Schizosaccharomyces pombe: one gene and its partners. Each later gene encodes a partner of the first gene's protein in a complex. Each region holds a gene or a part of one and is shown in the gene's direction. Other genes may lie near its edges.

The links.
Region 2: pmc4 (region 1) and med20 share a complex: the UniProt entries of both Schizosaccharomyces pombe proteins name them as parts of the mediator complex.
Region 3: pmc4 (region 1) and med1 share a complex: the UniProt entries of both Schizosaccharomyces pombe proteins name them as parts of the mediator complex.
Region 4: pmc4 (region 1) and pmc3 share a complex: the UniProt entries of both Schizosaccharomyces pombe proteins name them as parts of the mediator complex.

The regions. Positions count from the first base shown.
Region 1 is NC_003423.3:3,515,773-3,519,651, forward strand, and holds pmc4 (mediator complex subunit Med4), read left to right. Parts: upstream 1-1,688; 5' UTR 1,689-1,716; coding exon 1,717-2,436; 3' UTR 2,437-2,693; coding exon of another isoform or gene 2,694-2,982; 3' UTR 2,983-3,024; coding exon of another isoform or gene 3,025-3,276; 3' UTR 3,277-3,317; downstream 3,318-3,879. Other genes in the region: cell wall glucan 1,6-beta-glucosidase Exg1, read left to right, coding at 1-589; TREX/TREX2 complex subunit Pci2, read right to left, coding at 2,694-2,982, 3,025-3,276, 3,332-3,829, 3,877-3,879. UniProt on the Schizosaccharomyces pombe protein: Component of the Mediator complex, a coactivator involved in the regulated transcription of nearly all RNA polymerase II-dependent genes.
Region 2 is NC_003424.3:2,348,404-2,351,799, forward strand, and holds med20 (mediator complex subunit Med20), read left to right. Parts: upstream 1-1,789; 5' UTR 1,790-1,923; coding exon 1,924-1,937; intron 1,938-1,979; coding exon 1,980-2,068; intron 2,069-2,137; coding exon 2,138-2,616; 3' UTR 2,617-2,841; downstream 2,842-3,396. Other genes in the region: CENP-W family protein Wip1, read left to right, coding at 22-48; ARP2/3 actin-organizing complex subunit Arc5, read right to left, coding at 149-211, 302-478, 605-677, 722-867; ilv3 (dihydroxy-acid dehydratase), read right to left, coding at 2,968-3,396. UniProt on the Schizosaccharomyces pombe protein: Component of the Mediator complex, a coactivator involved in the regulated transcription of nearly all RNA polymerase II-dependent genes.
Region 3 is NC_003424.3:535,930-540,578, forward strand, and holds med1 (mediator complex subunit Med1), read left to right. Parts: upstream 1-1,980; 5' UTR 1,981-2,465; coding exon 2,466-2,699; exon of another isoform or gene 2,700-2,745; coding exon 2,746-3,393; intron 3,394-3,435; coding exon 3,436-3,918; 3' UTR 3,919-4,083; downstream 4,084-4,649. Other genes in the region: DYRK family cell polarity protein kinase Pom1, read right to left, coding at 1-1,796; translation initiation factor Tif5, read right to left, coding at 4,196-4,649. UniProt on the Schizosaccharomyces pombe protein: Component of the Mediator complex, a coactivator involved in the regulated transcription of nearly all RNA polymerase II-dependent genes.
Region 4 is NC_003424.3:4,488,371-4,492,442, forward strand, and holds pmc3 (mediator complex subunit Med27), read left to right. Parts: upstream 1-2,035; 5' UTR 2,036-2,165; coding exon 2,166-2,240; intron 2,241-2,277; coding exon 2,278-2,341; intron 2,342-2,466; coding exon 2,467-2,544; intron 2,545-2,590; coding exon 2,591-3,012; intron 3,013-3,061; coding exon 3,062-3,244; 3' UTR 3,245-3,572; downstream 3,573-4,072. Other genes in the region: sorting and assembly machinery complex subunit Sam50, read right to left, coding at 414-1,736, 1,818-1,922; tif471 (translation initiation factor eIF4G), read right to left, coding at 3,723-4,072. UniProt on the Schizosaccharomyces pombe protein: Component of the Mediator complex, a coactivator involved in the regulated transcription of nearly all RNA polymerase II-dependent genes.

The DNA.
Region 1 (3,879 bases):
TGAGCCTTTGGGCTATGGTCTGGATATGGATCAACTTAAGCAATACGATTTAGATGCCTATAATATCGTCAATCCTCTTTCCAGCTCTGTTGCTACTATCATTCACGATGCCTATGTTGATCTTTCTATTTGGGATTATGGTGTTGTATCTCCTTCTTCATACAATCTTGTTATGGATGTCCATCGTTATCAACTTTACGAGTCGGATGAGTGCTCAAAGACTCTCGATGATCATCTTTCAGATGTTTGCTCCATTGGTGATTCCATTGCTTCCTCTCCCTACATTACTGTTACTGGCGAATGGTCCGGAACTTTAGCAGACTGCACGATTTTCGAAGAAGGAGTTGACTCTTCGACATTTATTGGACCAAACAGCGGTGATATTTCCACTTGGACGGATGAATATAAGGGAGCTGTTCGTCTGTTTATCGAAACTCAGTTAGATCAATTTGAACGCGGTGCTGGTTGGATTTACTGGACTGCTAAAACTGGTGGACCAAGTCCTACTTGGGATATGGGATTACTTATTGAATACGGCGTATTCCCTCAACCTTTCACTGATAGACAATATAGCTCTTACTGCGGTTAAGCAAAGCCATATCAAAGTTAAAAAAAAATTTTATCTATTCTAGCTGTATAACACTAATTTATATCTCACACATCGTTGTCATGTCCTGTCCTTGCATTTATCATCTACTATCATTTAACGTGCTGCTATCTACTATCCATTCAGTCTTTGTTTGTTTGGCATTATCTTTAGACATTAGTTTTTAATATATATTGTTGTTTTCGAAATCTTTTAGTTATGTGATATTAATATTTTGGTAGCAAGTTCCTACTAAATTAATATTTAGCTTAATAGTTTACGTTCAATATTGCATATTTTTTCGAACTCTATATTAACAGTAGCTGTACTTTGGAGAAAGTTGACCGAGAAATCTTTTTAAAGTTGTCCAATTGAATTTTCAATTATCAAGTATCTTCAGTTTACTTATATGAAATGTATTTTCTGCTCTACTCTTATAAGTCAGTATTGAGCCACATAGACGGACCACTTTGAGTTAGTCTCGGAAAAGCAAATCGACAGAATAGGTTTTCACTCAGCCACAGGTGACATATGTTTAAAATACTTTTATAAAAATTACATTTAAATTGAGCGATTTCTTGGTAAAGTAATATTACACATTTTCTGATCTGATATAGGCTTTATACGCATTAAACGAAATAAGCTCATTAAGCATTCTTTAACGAACTCGCTTTTTTAATTTAATGAGATATCTAATTCACTAGTATGTATTCATTATGTTGTCCCTAACAAGATCAAAATTGTTACACTGTAAATGTAACGTAGTTTGTCGACTAATTTATACGAATAATAGCTTTCTTCTTGCCCAAATTAGTGAAATTTGTTAGACAATTTAAACAATTAAAATCATATACAGAATTAAATTGACTAATTCTATTTAATCGAGAGTAACTTAAGTATTGTTCGTCGAGCGTATATACCAGCTGCTACTTATTGCCCTTGTGGAGGAGGACATTACTGTAATTTACCGTGTTTTAGCACATTAAACCTTTTAAGGATGTCTGTTTAACTAACGGTTACGGATGTTTAAGGAGTAAAAAGTCGAGTCTGCAAAATAACTGTAACCTGACCTACTAGATGATCGAGCAATTGTTGAGTAGTTAGTATATAGTAATCACATATGCTCCCCAATGGAATATCAAAGAGCCATTGATTCTATTGAAGAATGTCTCAATAAACAGTTAAGACTGTCATCCGAAAAGGTTGACCAATATGTACTAATAGAAAACTGGACCTCATTAGTAGGCCACTTGAAAACCTTACACTCTTTAATATCAAATTACACAAATGGTAGAGAATTACAAAATGAAATTAGTTCTTTGCTGAAGCAGGATAAGGAACTGGATTTACAAATTCAAGACTGCATGAGAGAAATGACCTCAATTTATGATACCCATCTTCCAAAAACAGTGTCGGGGAGAAAACGACAAAAAGTTAATGCTGAAACACTCCTTGATTATGGTAGAAAACTTTCCAAGTTTTCCTCTGCACCTCCTGGGTACAATCCCGAGACGGGTCAAGATGCAAAAGCTCCTGTGCATTATCCTTGGCCATCGGAGGACCAGATGCGAAAAACTCTGTTGTTTCAGTTTTCAACTAGCATGGTTCCAAATTTATCGGCTACAGCGTCCCAATTATTTTCTGAACAGCCTCCAAAGACGAACGAGCCAACGGAAACAGAAACAGAAATTGATGCGAACAAAGCCGTTGAAGAAAAAACTAAAATGAATTATCCTGCCTCTCCAACATTCACTACGCAAGAGGAAAATAAAGAAGTAGAATCGCCAGCTAATAAGGATGTCTTTGCAGGATTTGATCTTTTTGATCCAGAAATGGAAGAAGATTTTTGATTCTAAATTGTGTTATTTGTCAAGTGATATCTGGTATTTTACTTTTCTAATTATAGAGTTTTTTGCTTTGACCAAATACCCTTTTGTTTTAAAAATGAATAAAATTACGCTTTGCCGTTTAGACTGTATTTATTTAGCTTTCAGACTTCGCAAAGCAAGATGATTGAACACTGTTCCTTGCTTAACATTTGTCAATTCAAATTTAATTAATTTTAAGTATAATTTTCGAACAATCTACGTTTTCTGAGTTCATTTAATTATGCGTTAGCATGAAAAAATTCCTTTTCTGCGTGATCATTCCTTGCTATGGGCATAAGGCTCTCTATTACAGAAAAACCGAACGATGGGTCTTTTTTAAGGACTAAAGTTGATGATGCATGAATGATATAACCTTTAATATATCCTTGGTCAATTAGAGAAACACAGATACATTCGACATCGTCCATGTCATATGAGTTATCATTTGTACTTAAACGGGCCGCGGTTAACAAGTAAGAACCAGATACGTGCGGGGTTTTTTGGCTTTGCTCAAAAGTAAAAAGAAACCTTTTTAAATTAGTCGAATATTTTAAAAAATCTCAAACGTACACCTTTCTAAATAAATTCCTCCACAGGATGATTTCACATCTATCCAATAAAGTTAGATATATTCCTCGTTTGATAAACCATTTCCTCCTGGAATTGTCCTCCAAAGATAATCTGAACGACTTGATATCACCACTTTTCAAAGCTTTTATTAAAGGTTCGAATGCTGCAGTCAATTTGTATTTTTCTAATAGCCCTTTTGTTGGCGATTTTCCTAATATAAGTAAACACGTTGTAAGATAGATTAGAGAAAGCCTTTTTTGATTAGTAAATATAAACGAATCCTATTTTTGAGTAAAATAAAACATACCTTTTTTGATGATAACACTCATCAGGGCACTGAAGAAACGAAAAAAGTAGATGGTCCTTTGCCTGATGAATTTTGCGTTGATAAAGATGACACCTTCCTAAATAATAACGAAACGTTACTAATTCCGCCATTGTAGCGCGAGAAATATCGGCACCCGAAGAGATGACATTAGCTTGAATAGTTTGGCAAAGACGAATTTGCTTTAAGCGAAAATATAGTAAACAAAGTAAATTGGCAATACAGAATATCGCATCCTTCTTCGAAGGGTTAATGTTTTGTTGACGATCACTCAGTATACTATTGAACGTTCGTAAGACGTTCCTAGATGCATCGCTCACGTATTTCCTCTGTATGAACCCATTACCATCAAAAGAATCTTCTAAAGTAGGTGTAGATGTATCTAGCTGAAGGGAGAGCTTTACATAAAGCTTTGAAACGCGTTTTACAATTGTACACAACCATGCTCCATCGATATGGGAGAAGCAAGTTGTCAAGTTACTAGAAAAACAAAAGTGAGAAATAATAAACAAAAAGTTTTTAATTACCTA
Region 2 (3,396 bases), on another chromosome or scaffold:
ACATACTTACTAACCATTTAGAAAATTCTAGCTCAATTTAAAGGATAAAAAGAGTCATTATGTGGGAAAGAAGACATAAAACAGAATCATTGATTCAGTTCCATAAGCGACAGAATAGTAGATACCAAAAAGTAAGATAAAGCCATATTTATAGATCGGGTCTACTATTGAGAACACGAACTATACATCCTATACCGGATATTTCCACCACCTACAAAACCGTATTAGTGACCGAATAAAAATGTAAAGCATGAGATAAGCAATGCTAGAGCGTTGGGAAAAGCAATAAACTAAAAGTTACCTTTTCGTGCCAATTAAGTAATACAGACGAGTTGTAGGCTTGAGGATTCGCCAATCCACGATAAATGAAGTTTACAATATTATCAATTTCCTCCGTTGAACATTCTTTTACAAATGCGGGAATGTCAGCAGCTCGTATATTGCTTAATACATCAACAAAAGCATTCAAATATTGAGTCTAAAAAAGTTAAAATTCATTTACACCATAATAAAATGAAATCAAGAAGAATTGTAAATTTAATCAATAAATAAAAACGTAATTGATATAAACCGTCTTTAAGCAGTTTGTACAGTTTGCACATACCCTAACTTCTTGAACATCATTTCCATAAGGAACATATGAGAGTAAGGTTTTCAAACCTTGTAAGGCATTTCCTCTATTTTAATTAATAAAAAAATTGCTTCTTTTAAATAAACATACGTTTGAATGGCAGACCGGGCTTGAGGAATGAGTTGAGAGACGGCTGCTTGGACTTGCTCCGCCGTTTCGTTACGAATTGGAAATATATCTTGCTCTGTTAAAACAGGTTCTGTGATGGAGTCGACATCCAAAGTCCGAAACGTCATTTTATAACTCTATAACTGGTAAGGTAAAGAAAACGATGGAACAGGTTAAGTTTCAGCTGTGTGTAGCTCTAAAGAGGCATCATACAACGGTCGAACGCAAGTCTGTAACTGAAGTTATTATAATTCATAGAGTATATTAATTTAACCAATAAGTTAAGAAAATTCAAAAAAATATATTTATATTTTTTTAATCTTATAACTTTAACTTATAATTTTTGAGCGGAGCTATATAAGTCTGGTAACAGCATTACTAACTTCTTCAGTACTCCATAGACCTCTTTTGTGGATGTTTATTTTTTTTTATTTGTAAATAATCATCTCTACCTTTGGTCTTAGATGTAAAGTTCTGAATAACTTGTAGACAGAAATTGGTTACATATTTTACATTTCTGCCTATGGTGATTCAGAAGAAAATATGTTAGATACAGCCTAGTAATTAGTTGAATAAAGATTAAAAGTAATTTTTTTTTTGCTTCTATCTATTTTCAGTATGTATATTGATGTATGAGTTTATACTTCTATTCGAACAATAACTTTTAAGACTTATTTTGCTGACAGAACTATGTAGTTTCTTGTGTAAAGTTCAAAGTAAAACGAAGAGACACATATGTAACATCCTGGGATTAACAGATTTTTAATTAGTGCTCAAACCAGCCAGTTACATTGTTACGTAGTATTTGACTCTCCAGAAGTTAATTATGAATGTAATTCAGTTAACTTAATTCTCTTCAAGCTTTTAACAATTTGCTCTGGGATTATCATACCCAAAAGCCATATACTTTGCGACTTGGAAAATAATAAAAATGACAAGAGATAAATTAATAAAATTTGAGCTCATATTATGTCTATCTGCTTTTTTTTTTTAATACAGGAACAATGAAAATGAAGGTTTTAAATTAGCCTGTTAGCAATTCTTGCAACCGCCGTACGCATTAAACTCTTCACATCAACATTACAGTAGAAGTAAAAGAACTAATTCGGCCATTTTTCTCAATAATTCGGTATAAACCGATATTCAGATGCATAATTAATTACCATTCATCTTTGTTATAAAATATGCCTGTTCACGGGTAAAAAGCATACCGATTGACTATTTTGCTGATTGATTATAGAGTTATTTATTATTCATCGCCTTCAATGGCGACGTTCCTTTCTCCAGCACAGGATAATCTGGTTAGGACCTACTTTGCACAACATTTAAGTAAGCTGACACTGGTTTGGATTTTATTTCTTATGATTGATGATTTCAAGATCTAACTTTGAATTTCAGAAAAATGGGTAGTTCAGTATAAACTTTACAGAAATGCTGTCACTCCAAAAACTTTAGAATTTTTGAAGCAAAACATTAATCCCAGCATGCTGGCGTGTGTGGATGAAGCGACAATGATTGATGCAGAACCTGAACTTGAGGACATCATTGTGCGAACGAAATTATGGAATTTTCGGCAGTCCTTTACTATTGAAGGTTCAATATATGAAGTAGGGAGCTTTAAAGTGGCTATTGCCAACGTTTTACAAAAGTCCGTTTGGAAGGGTATACTTTTTCATGTAACTTACGATGGTACTGAGTCCGTCGATCTCGCACGCCCTATTATTCAAGAATTCTTTCTTAAATGCTTTTTACAAAATAATAAATCGGTAACCCCTGTCTATGAAAGCTTCTTTAACCAGCCTCGTCATTCTTTGGATTCAAAACTTCTACTACAGTTGTTTAAACAACGCATTGATACCGTTTCACAACGCACATAGAATAAAAAAGTATCAATTTAAATTTTTTCTGTAAATAAATTTCTATCTAACTAACTGTCAAAGTCTTGCTTTATTGTCAGCAGAAAGTTATGGCTCCCTTTCACATTTACAGATACCAATTATGTTTAATAATAAAATAGAAATGCAGGAGTTTGAATAACAACCCATTTTAAACTCGATGCATTTCACTGTACTCCAAAAAGTAATTATTCATTCAAAATTATTCAAATAAACTCTAGATGAGATTATGGAATCAGCATTAAAAGCTTATTAATCAACCTTTACTACCAAAACATTAAACGTCTAAGTTTCCAAAATACTATGCGCGCTTATAAAAGCATTGAATATGCTTTACTCTAAGGAATCTGTAACAGCACCCTTGGAGGCAGTGCTAACGTTGCGAGCATATTTTAAAAGGGTTCCTTGTTGGTACTTCAAAGGAGGTGCCTTCCAAACACTGCGGCGTCTCGCCATCTCCTTCTCATCAACCATCAAATCTAAAGTGTTCTTTACAGCATTGATTTCAATGACATCGCCGTCCTGAACAAGAGCAATAGGGCCTCCAACTTGTGCTTCGGGATCAACGTGTCCAATCAAAAATCCGTGAGAGCCACCACTGAAACGACCGTCAGTCAAAAGTGCAACATCCTTTCCAAGACCAGCTCCCATAATAGCACTTGAAGGCTTTAACATTTCCGGCATACCAGGTCCACCTTTTGGTCCCTCAAAACGAATAATGACGACAGTCTTCTCGCCCTTCTTGAACTCACCACGCTCTAA
Region 3 (4,649 bases), on another chromosome or scaffold:
TTCATAGCTAAATCAGCAACCTTACGATCAAACGGTTCTGACAACACATTTGAAGACGCAAAAGATAAGGAAGGCTGTAATGATTCACTCGTATCAGAACTCCTTTTAGGAGTATACGAAACACTTCGTTGCTGAGGTACATGTCCTTTATCTTTAAAGTTTGAAGGTAGTGGAGGAACTGAAGGAATTTCCTCGGGCTTCTCAGGTTCACGGGAAACCTGAGAACGCGTAATCGAAAGTCTTGGAACAGGGGGAGGTGATGCAGAATCACTATTACCGTTAGAGCTTCTTTCTTTGGATGGTTTGAACCAGTTAATAAATTGCTGCATCCGGCTTTTCGTTCTCGTAGGAGTTTTCTTTCCATTCCGGTAGCTAGATTTGGTAGAAGAATCAGCTATGTAAGCATGTGGTATTGCCGGTACGTCAGGGGCATCCTCGTGTTTAGCTTTACTTCCTTTCTTCATACGAGAAGAACTTCTCGAAAAACTCAATCTGCTAAAAAAGCCACCTCTTGAAGATCTACCTTCTTTGTTGGAAGATTTCTGTGATTTAGACTCATTTTGGACAGTATTCCCATGTTTAGCTTCATGGTTACGATGCCCATCAACGTTTGTCTTCTGAGAAACCGCTTTAGGAGCAGCTTTCGGATCAGGATTTCTACTGTCGGGATGAACTTGAGATGATGTAGTAGTATTATTGTGATTATCGGATGAAACAGGTTTGTTGTTATCGAAGACAGAGGGGGTAGCAAAAGAGTGTGATTTGGTTTGTGATCCTACATGTGAGTGATTATTTTTAACATTAGAAAGGGTTATTTGACTATGGGGGGAAAGTTCTTTGAAAAAAGAATTGGATGTCTTCAAAGGGGATTGGATTGTAGAAAGATTCTTCGATTCTGAACTTGATTTCGTAAGGGATCCAGATATATTTGCTTTAGGATGTTGGTGATCAGTGGAATGACCTATATTAGGAGGAATAGTTGGAACAGGAGGAATTCCAGACTTATTTCCAATAGAAGCTGCTCTGGGATGTGAAGTAGAATGGAAGTTAGTATGACGCCAACTACCGGATCTCTTTGGAGCCATTGAAGCATGGTATGCATGGTTCCCCGAGGAAAAAACGCTAGATTGTAAAGGAACGGATGATACATCTTGTGTAATAGATATAACCCCACTCAAATGCCCCCCATTATTTTGCTGATTCCAATCACTAGGCTTTGATGAACGATTATAATATGATAAGGAAGTTCCAAAACTCTTAGAGTTCGATATTGAAGATGTCCTATGATGTGAAGAAGTATTCAACGACGAAGGATTGTTCTGCTGAGATGACTCGAAATCGATTGGGTTATTACCAATACTTATGTTTGACAAACGGTGTATGGAATTCCTCGGACTGTTTTTCTGTCTATAATCGTGATCAAAACTACTTCGGAGTAAACCATTGCCAGTCGAGTGGTGTATAGTAATAGCATGATTATCCATAGATGAACCAACTCCCTTTGGTTCAACATTCATAAATAACTCATCTTTATGCTCTTGTTCCGGAAAAGAAATGTTCGTATTTGAGGCATTCGTCGAAGGACTCGTATCTGCTGCTGTACTGCTAGAACTCTGGCGGTTTGGACAAATATCGTTGGAATAACTACCAACGGCAGAAAGTTCAGATGGGTTTAATAGTTCAGATTTTATTCCGAACATGTTTGCGCTTTTCCGGTTTGATGTATGAAGTTTAAATAATGCATCCGTATTTTCGTCGCCCAGAGAAACCGCTTTTTGGGACTGCAAATAGCCCATTTGCAAACTTTGCTTCAAAAAGCCAAAATTCTCACTATATTACGCTTTTACTGGCTTTTTTGAAACAAAATATTGTTTCTATAAGCTCCCTCCTTCAGTTACAGTCTCTTATCTTCTTTAAAATGCAAACTAGTAGCAGTACGTTCGTGGCTAATTAAAGCCGCGCTACACCCTGCATATCAATACCAACCACTTCTGAAAGGGCACGCAAGCTGTAAATGAAACATAGAACGCTTATTGATTTGTGCACAAATTTTACCAAAAAGAAAATATTTTATTAAGATTTACTGCATATATATTTTGATGCTTTAAAAAGAGTTTGAGTGAACATACTTTGGGTTTTTTTTAGTCCAAGGTTTAAAATTGGTTTTCATTTGTATACATATAAAATTCCCCATAACTACTGTTTTAACCCTCGTTATAAAGATAAATCAATCACACAGACCTTCCCATTGAAACTAAGTTTTAGGCGGTTCAAAATTACCTACTTGTTTTTGCAATTAATGCGTTTCTAGCAAATAGTTTGATGGCAGTAAAGGCTTCCTTTTTGCAGAACAAATTAAATTGCTCGCTGAACAGACATAAAATTGCGCTTATATACAGTGTTTTAAGCTGATTAAATACGAAATACACGACTAATTTACTAAATCTTCTTTAATAATCTTTTCGATGGATAGACCACATCTCTTTTCTGAAGTTCATTTCCGTCGAAACGCCTCTAACCCCAATCAGATTAACTGGACGCGTTATTGGATTGATTGTCTATCATCAGTTCCTTGGAATGATATCTCTGTAACTGGATTTGAATATTTGGCTAAAAAGTATGGTCTGGAGGTTTTTCAAGACTCCTCCAAACCCAATGAAGTGGTCCTCAGTTTAGCTGGAAAAATAATTTTGATCGACGTAAGTTTAAATCCTGTACATAACCGTTTTACTAATTAGTATCTAGATCACTGTTCCCATAAATGCGTCTCCAAAAGATATCAACGTTGTTTTGGCTTTTGCAAACGCTAGTGGTGAGCAATATAATAATCCTGTTGCAGAAAAATTACTTAAGGATGCAATTTACAATTGCAATACCCCACTATTTGAAAAGAATGTCAAATGGTTGGCTACCTTTGATCACTCCTCTCCTTCGGTCCAACAAAGTTGTTTCCAATATTTAGACTCACTATCCTCTTCTTTAAATGCTATTTATGAAGCAGAATTATCTTTGCTAGCACAAGAAGAAAATGTTATAATGCATGGAAACGGAAAGCCTCTCAGTAATTACGAAGGACAACTTGGTTTGCGTATTGTATACTGGAAGCTTTTGGATAAAACCTATAGCACTCAAATTTTTATGGATAATTTGTCTCATGAGTCGCTACCTCACTTGTTATTCGGATATAATTTATTAAATTCTCCTCCTATCCTCCAATCATCAAAAATTAATTGGGCACTTGAAAATACTTTGACACCTATTCCTACAACAATGGAACTAGTTTTTGATGATATCAATTTAATAATACCAGAGCAGGGCGTCAAACCTTTACTTGATTTGCTTCATGTCCATGACATTACCATTCCTTGGCCTGTCCAAAATTATAGTCATATGGTAAGTACTTTCCCTAAATATCAACTTAACTAATTTCACCAGCTTGGTTTACCTTCAAAATCAACCGTGAACTACAAATTCATTAATAAAAATCAAGCCATCCAGCTAACAGGGTTCGATGTTTCCGCACGTTCTTTGCGTCACGTACCGTTTCATCATCCCAAGCAAATTCGAGGAATACTTGCTATTGTACGCCAATATTTATTATTACAATTGATTTTGGAAAATATCAAATCAGCAGATTTAGCAGAGACTGCGGCATCTTCCTCCCTTCACCTCTCTCTATATTTTAAGGAGCATCCGATCGTTCATGCCCAATATCAAGAAATCAACAAACTGAATAATTCCGAACAAATTATCATTGTTCTATCCGTATTGTCAGATGGAAGACTGAATGTTGATTATATGTCTAGTGGTGGCAAAGAATTGTCAAAACAACAGTCTCATGTTTTTCAAAAACTTATACAACAAACATGTAACATCGGACTTGCGATAGAAGTGTTTATAAAGAAAGTCGTTAATTAGAATTTCATGCTAGAAAAAGACATTACTAATCAGTTTTAAAAATCTTTAGTAAAATGAAATTATGGAATTAGTTGGATGTTTTGAATAGTATAAATTGAACACTTTAAAAGGCTAGCCTATTTTACAAAAATCAGAACACTTTAATAGATATATTCAACTTACGAGAAACTAATTTGCTAAAACTTGAAAGAATCAGCTTAATATTTTAGAGAACAGGATTGTAAGTTATTCAATTCTCAAAGCACAAATTGTGGTAGAGAGTAAAAAGAGGCCGTTCTTATTCGTCGTCGTCTTCTTCTTCTTCCTCCTCATCTTCACTCTCAGATTCGTCACTTGCTTCAGCCAACCATGTCAAAAAAGGTTCAGCAGCTTCATGAATCTTCTTACTAGTTTCACGGCTCACATATTTCTTGCTAGCCTTTGCTCCCCATTTCTCAAACATGTCATCAGAGACCAAGTCATTCTGATAAATCTCCAAGAGTACCTTGGGAACAACGTCGATGTGCACTAATTCAGTGTTTTCCATCAAACGTTCAAACCCACCAAGAAGAGCACGTTCATGTTTATCTGTCGTGCAAAGCTTTTTAAACAATGCACCATGCTTTTCAAACTCCCCAACGTAAGGCGAAGTAATAATACATTGAACTAGTACAACAATAGCTTTACTTTTATGATGAATATTCTCTTCCTTCATCTTTTTGTAAATTTCAACATCAGAAACACCAGGGTAG
Region 4 (4,072 bases), on another chromosome or scaffold:
CTGAAACCCAAACATAAACTAATGCGCTTTTTCTAGCTAGCAAGACCTTCAAAGAAGGATTAAAGGCTCTTCTATCTCATTTTAAAGTCGTAGTTTATTTTTCGACTAATTGCAATTATTAATCTTCTTTTAATAATAAAAATACAAAAGATACTCTGATGTTATGTAACTATCTTCGTTTAAATTTATTCATATATGGTTATTGAAATTCTGTGAAATTCATAAATCTTGACCAAAAGCAAAATATTTGTATGACAATTATAAATATGCATGAAAATTTAATTCAAACGCAGTAAAAGCAATTGTCAACCGTAACATTCTTATCATTAGCATAAATGAGAGAAAAAGACAGACAAGTCAGAGATGGGAATAGTAGAGACCTTATTAAAGTAAAAAGTTAAAAAGGAAAATCATTACATGAAATCGATACCCGCGCCGAATTGCAGGCCTTTACGACCGATATCCTTTTCGGTAGTAGCGATTGGTAAGGTAAAGTTCAGCTCGAAACGCGCAGCGGGAGTTGCATAGACTAAACCTAAGCCTGTAGAGATACAAGGCTTAGAAAGTATTGATTTGTATGTGCCACATGGATTTGGAGAAGTCAAATTCGATAGCCCTCCAGCATTCGCAAACAACTGTAAGCGAAATGGTTTAGAAGCATCAACTTTTGGCAAAGGGAATAGCAAGCTCATGGAGAAAGCCATATATGCGGTCCCGCCTAAAGAATCCCTGCCATCTTTTGGACCTATACGGTCTTCTGAAAAACCACGAAGGCTAGTTGAACCGCCTAACATGAAACGATCACACAGACTGACTTGCTTCTTATTTAGACTATGCAATGCTCCAATCCGGGCGGACAAAGAAAGAGAAACAGACCTAGAAGAATTTAAAGCCACAGCTTTTTGACCCCAGAATTCTGATTTTAGAAAGCTCGCATCTCCTGGAAGAAATCCGAACCCAGCGAGCTCTAAAGTCTGCCTCACATAATCTCCCTTCGTGGGTATCATAAGATGATCGCGTGTATCGCGTGTATACGTATAGGAAAGAGATTGTTTTAATGAATCACCGGCCTCAAGTCGTACGCTTGGAGAAGCATATTCAGTGAGATGAGTAACTTGCCTCCACAATAAGTTTTGTGAAAGTAAATGCTCGCCAGACCACAGATCTTGATGCTGCAATGAAAGCGTAATTCCTTTAGTAAGTAAGTCATGGCTCGAAATAGATTTATTGTCTCTCAAGTTACTGTGGCCATTGAATCGTAAACGGGTTTTAGGATCTGCGTTTACTGGGGTCTCAAAGTTCACGGACATGGTAGACCGATTACGAGTTCCATATGAAACGTTACCAGAAAGAAGTTCAGCTCCTCCAAAAACATTTCTTGCAAGAACATTAGCATGTACATTGCCTTCAACGTTACCAACATCAGTGCCGGTTTCTACATATAAACGTGGTTTCTCTTTTACTTGAATGGTAACATCAAGATCATCATCTCCAGAAACAGAAGAGCTAGCACGATCTATTTTAATATTGGCAGTTTCATAAACGTTGAATGCCATCAAATTCCCAGTAGTTTCTTGAATAGCATTTAATGTTTCAAGCAAAGATCGACTTTTGGCCGGTTTCGACGTATCCAAACATGTTTTCAATACTTTGCGAATGAAACTTGGCCTAGTATGATGTGCACCAGTAACTCGAATGGAAGAAATACCCACTGGCAAAGTGCTATTTTCTGCCAACTGATTGATGATGGTTAGTATAAATTATGGTGAATTAAAAAAAAAATAGAGACGAAAATTAGATAATAAAACTTAACTTACAATTTCAGAAAGGCTCTTAAATGTTTCCTCAGCTGAAAGTTTGCTTTCTTCGTTCACGGCGGGAATGTCAGATGGAAAAGAAGTTGACTCAAATTGTTCGGTCATATTTTCAAATTTCCTATATTTTGAATATAATAACAATCTTCTTTCTCAATAGCACTGGGGTTGAATTATTTTTTAAAGGTTTTTAGATGAATGTAAGTTCGTTAATGACAGCCGACATCTTACCATCTACTATTTGGATGTGCCGATTTTTGAATTCTCTCCATTTACCATCAATATTTATTTAATATACGCATTGTTAATTTTTTTTTCATAATTATTTTAAGTTTGTTAAGGCTACCAGAAATGTCATTAGAAGAGCAGCGTACAAGAGATGAATTAAAGCACAAGCTATTGGATTTAAATCAGCTTCACGAACAGGTTTGTCTAATTTCAGAAGACATTTTATTAATTTTAGCTTGCTGAATTAAGAACTATTTGTCCATCCCTTTTAAAATTATTACATCCTGAAACCGGCACAAGTAAGTAATTGTTTAAATAACTAAATTCTTTAAGAAAAACGAGTTAAAGTTTACACTAAGGGAAAATGATATGATGATTATCTTTCATATTAAATTTAAATTTTGCTCGAGTACTAATTAATTAGGTCGGAAATTTGAGAAAAGTGCTCAAGAAGCGATTGAAAAAGTAAATTCCTTTTATACACATCTTAAATCCAGTCAAAGTATGCATGCAAATTATTTTTAGCTTAAATTTTTGCTAATTAACAGACGTTTTTGATTATGCTGAAAAGTCTTTACAAGCCGATTCCTCTAATTTGCTCCCTACTTATTTATACAATTCAGAAGATTTGTCTAATGATACCGAAAATAATGAAACAAAATCCATTAATGGGAAGTCTGCATTAGACTTAAAGGAGCCGCATCACAGTGAATTGCATGATAATGACAATTTCCAAAATTCGGATATAAACATAGAGTCTTTTAAAGGTGATATTGAGGCTTCAGGGTCTATTCTTACAACGCATGAAAACAAGTCTTTCACTTTGAAACTAGCAAACGAGCTAGAGTTTATTTTCTTTCATGATACTAGGGGGAAATTTAGTGTTTATTGTTCATCTAGCAAAGACGATGCTATTACTTTTTCAATTAACCGTAACAACAACTTCCTTGGAAATTTATGGTCTCTTATGGTATGTGTTTTTGAGGTTGTTAGACAAAACCTCTGCTAACCGTGTGTAGCCTAAAATACTTGATTATCAGCATCTTTATTCTAAGCCGTGTGACTTTTGTAAAAGTCTCATTTCTCCTGTGTACCTGGAGCTTCCTTCTGTTCGAAGAAACGCAAACTCAACAGTGAAGCCTACTTCTAAAGATATATTAGCGTTACATGCAGAATGCGTGCCGGCTCAGTCAGATTTGTGAAACACTAATTTTGATATTCAAATGAAATAAGACGTTCATAATTGCCATTTTTGCTTCGTTTTGAGCTTGAGTTACAATTATCACTTTCAAAGAAGTGCATTTCAATCACATGCAGATGTTGGAATAAACTCAATGTCTTCTGACTCCTTGATATTTATAATTTCCAAATCTTGTTGGACTACTCAAGCCTGTTCTACAAACTTCAAATACCTTAATATATCATGGTTTTGTATACTAAAAATTCAAAAGTACTACTCTTTTAGTGATATAGATACTGTAAATTGGGCTATGCGTAACTCAATGAATGAAATTAAAATTTTCCAAAGCATTTCTCAATTACAATGTAGAGAATGTATTACCTTATACTATAAAGTCCATTTCCCGTTAACCCTGATAAATGATGGATTCATCCATAGCAAAACAATCAAAACAAACCAAAAGATGAAAGACTTAAATTACAGATTCAAATCCGATTACTTTACGAACTAGTTTTTGAGTTAGAATCTTTTTGACCCCCATCATTATCATGGTCATGCTCTTCAAGTAATTCGAAAGAATTAGCAGAAGTAACCGCGACGTTAGATGGTGGTGCACGAACAGACTGTTCCCTTCTTAAGGCACTGTTTTGACGAGAAGGCGTTCTACTAACGCTTCCACCTTTAAGCATTGAACTCAAACTTGTGGGACCGTGAGAACCCTGAGTACCAGATTTGAGACCTCTTATACCTTGTCCAAGTCTAGCATAACCATCTTTGTTATTAGACCAATCACTAGAGCTAAATGGTGGATTGCTTCCTCGACCGCCCATCCGAGAATCACCACGATTCA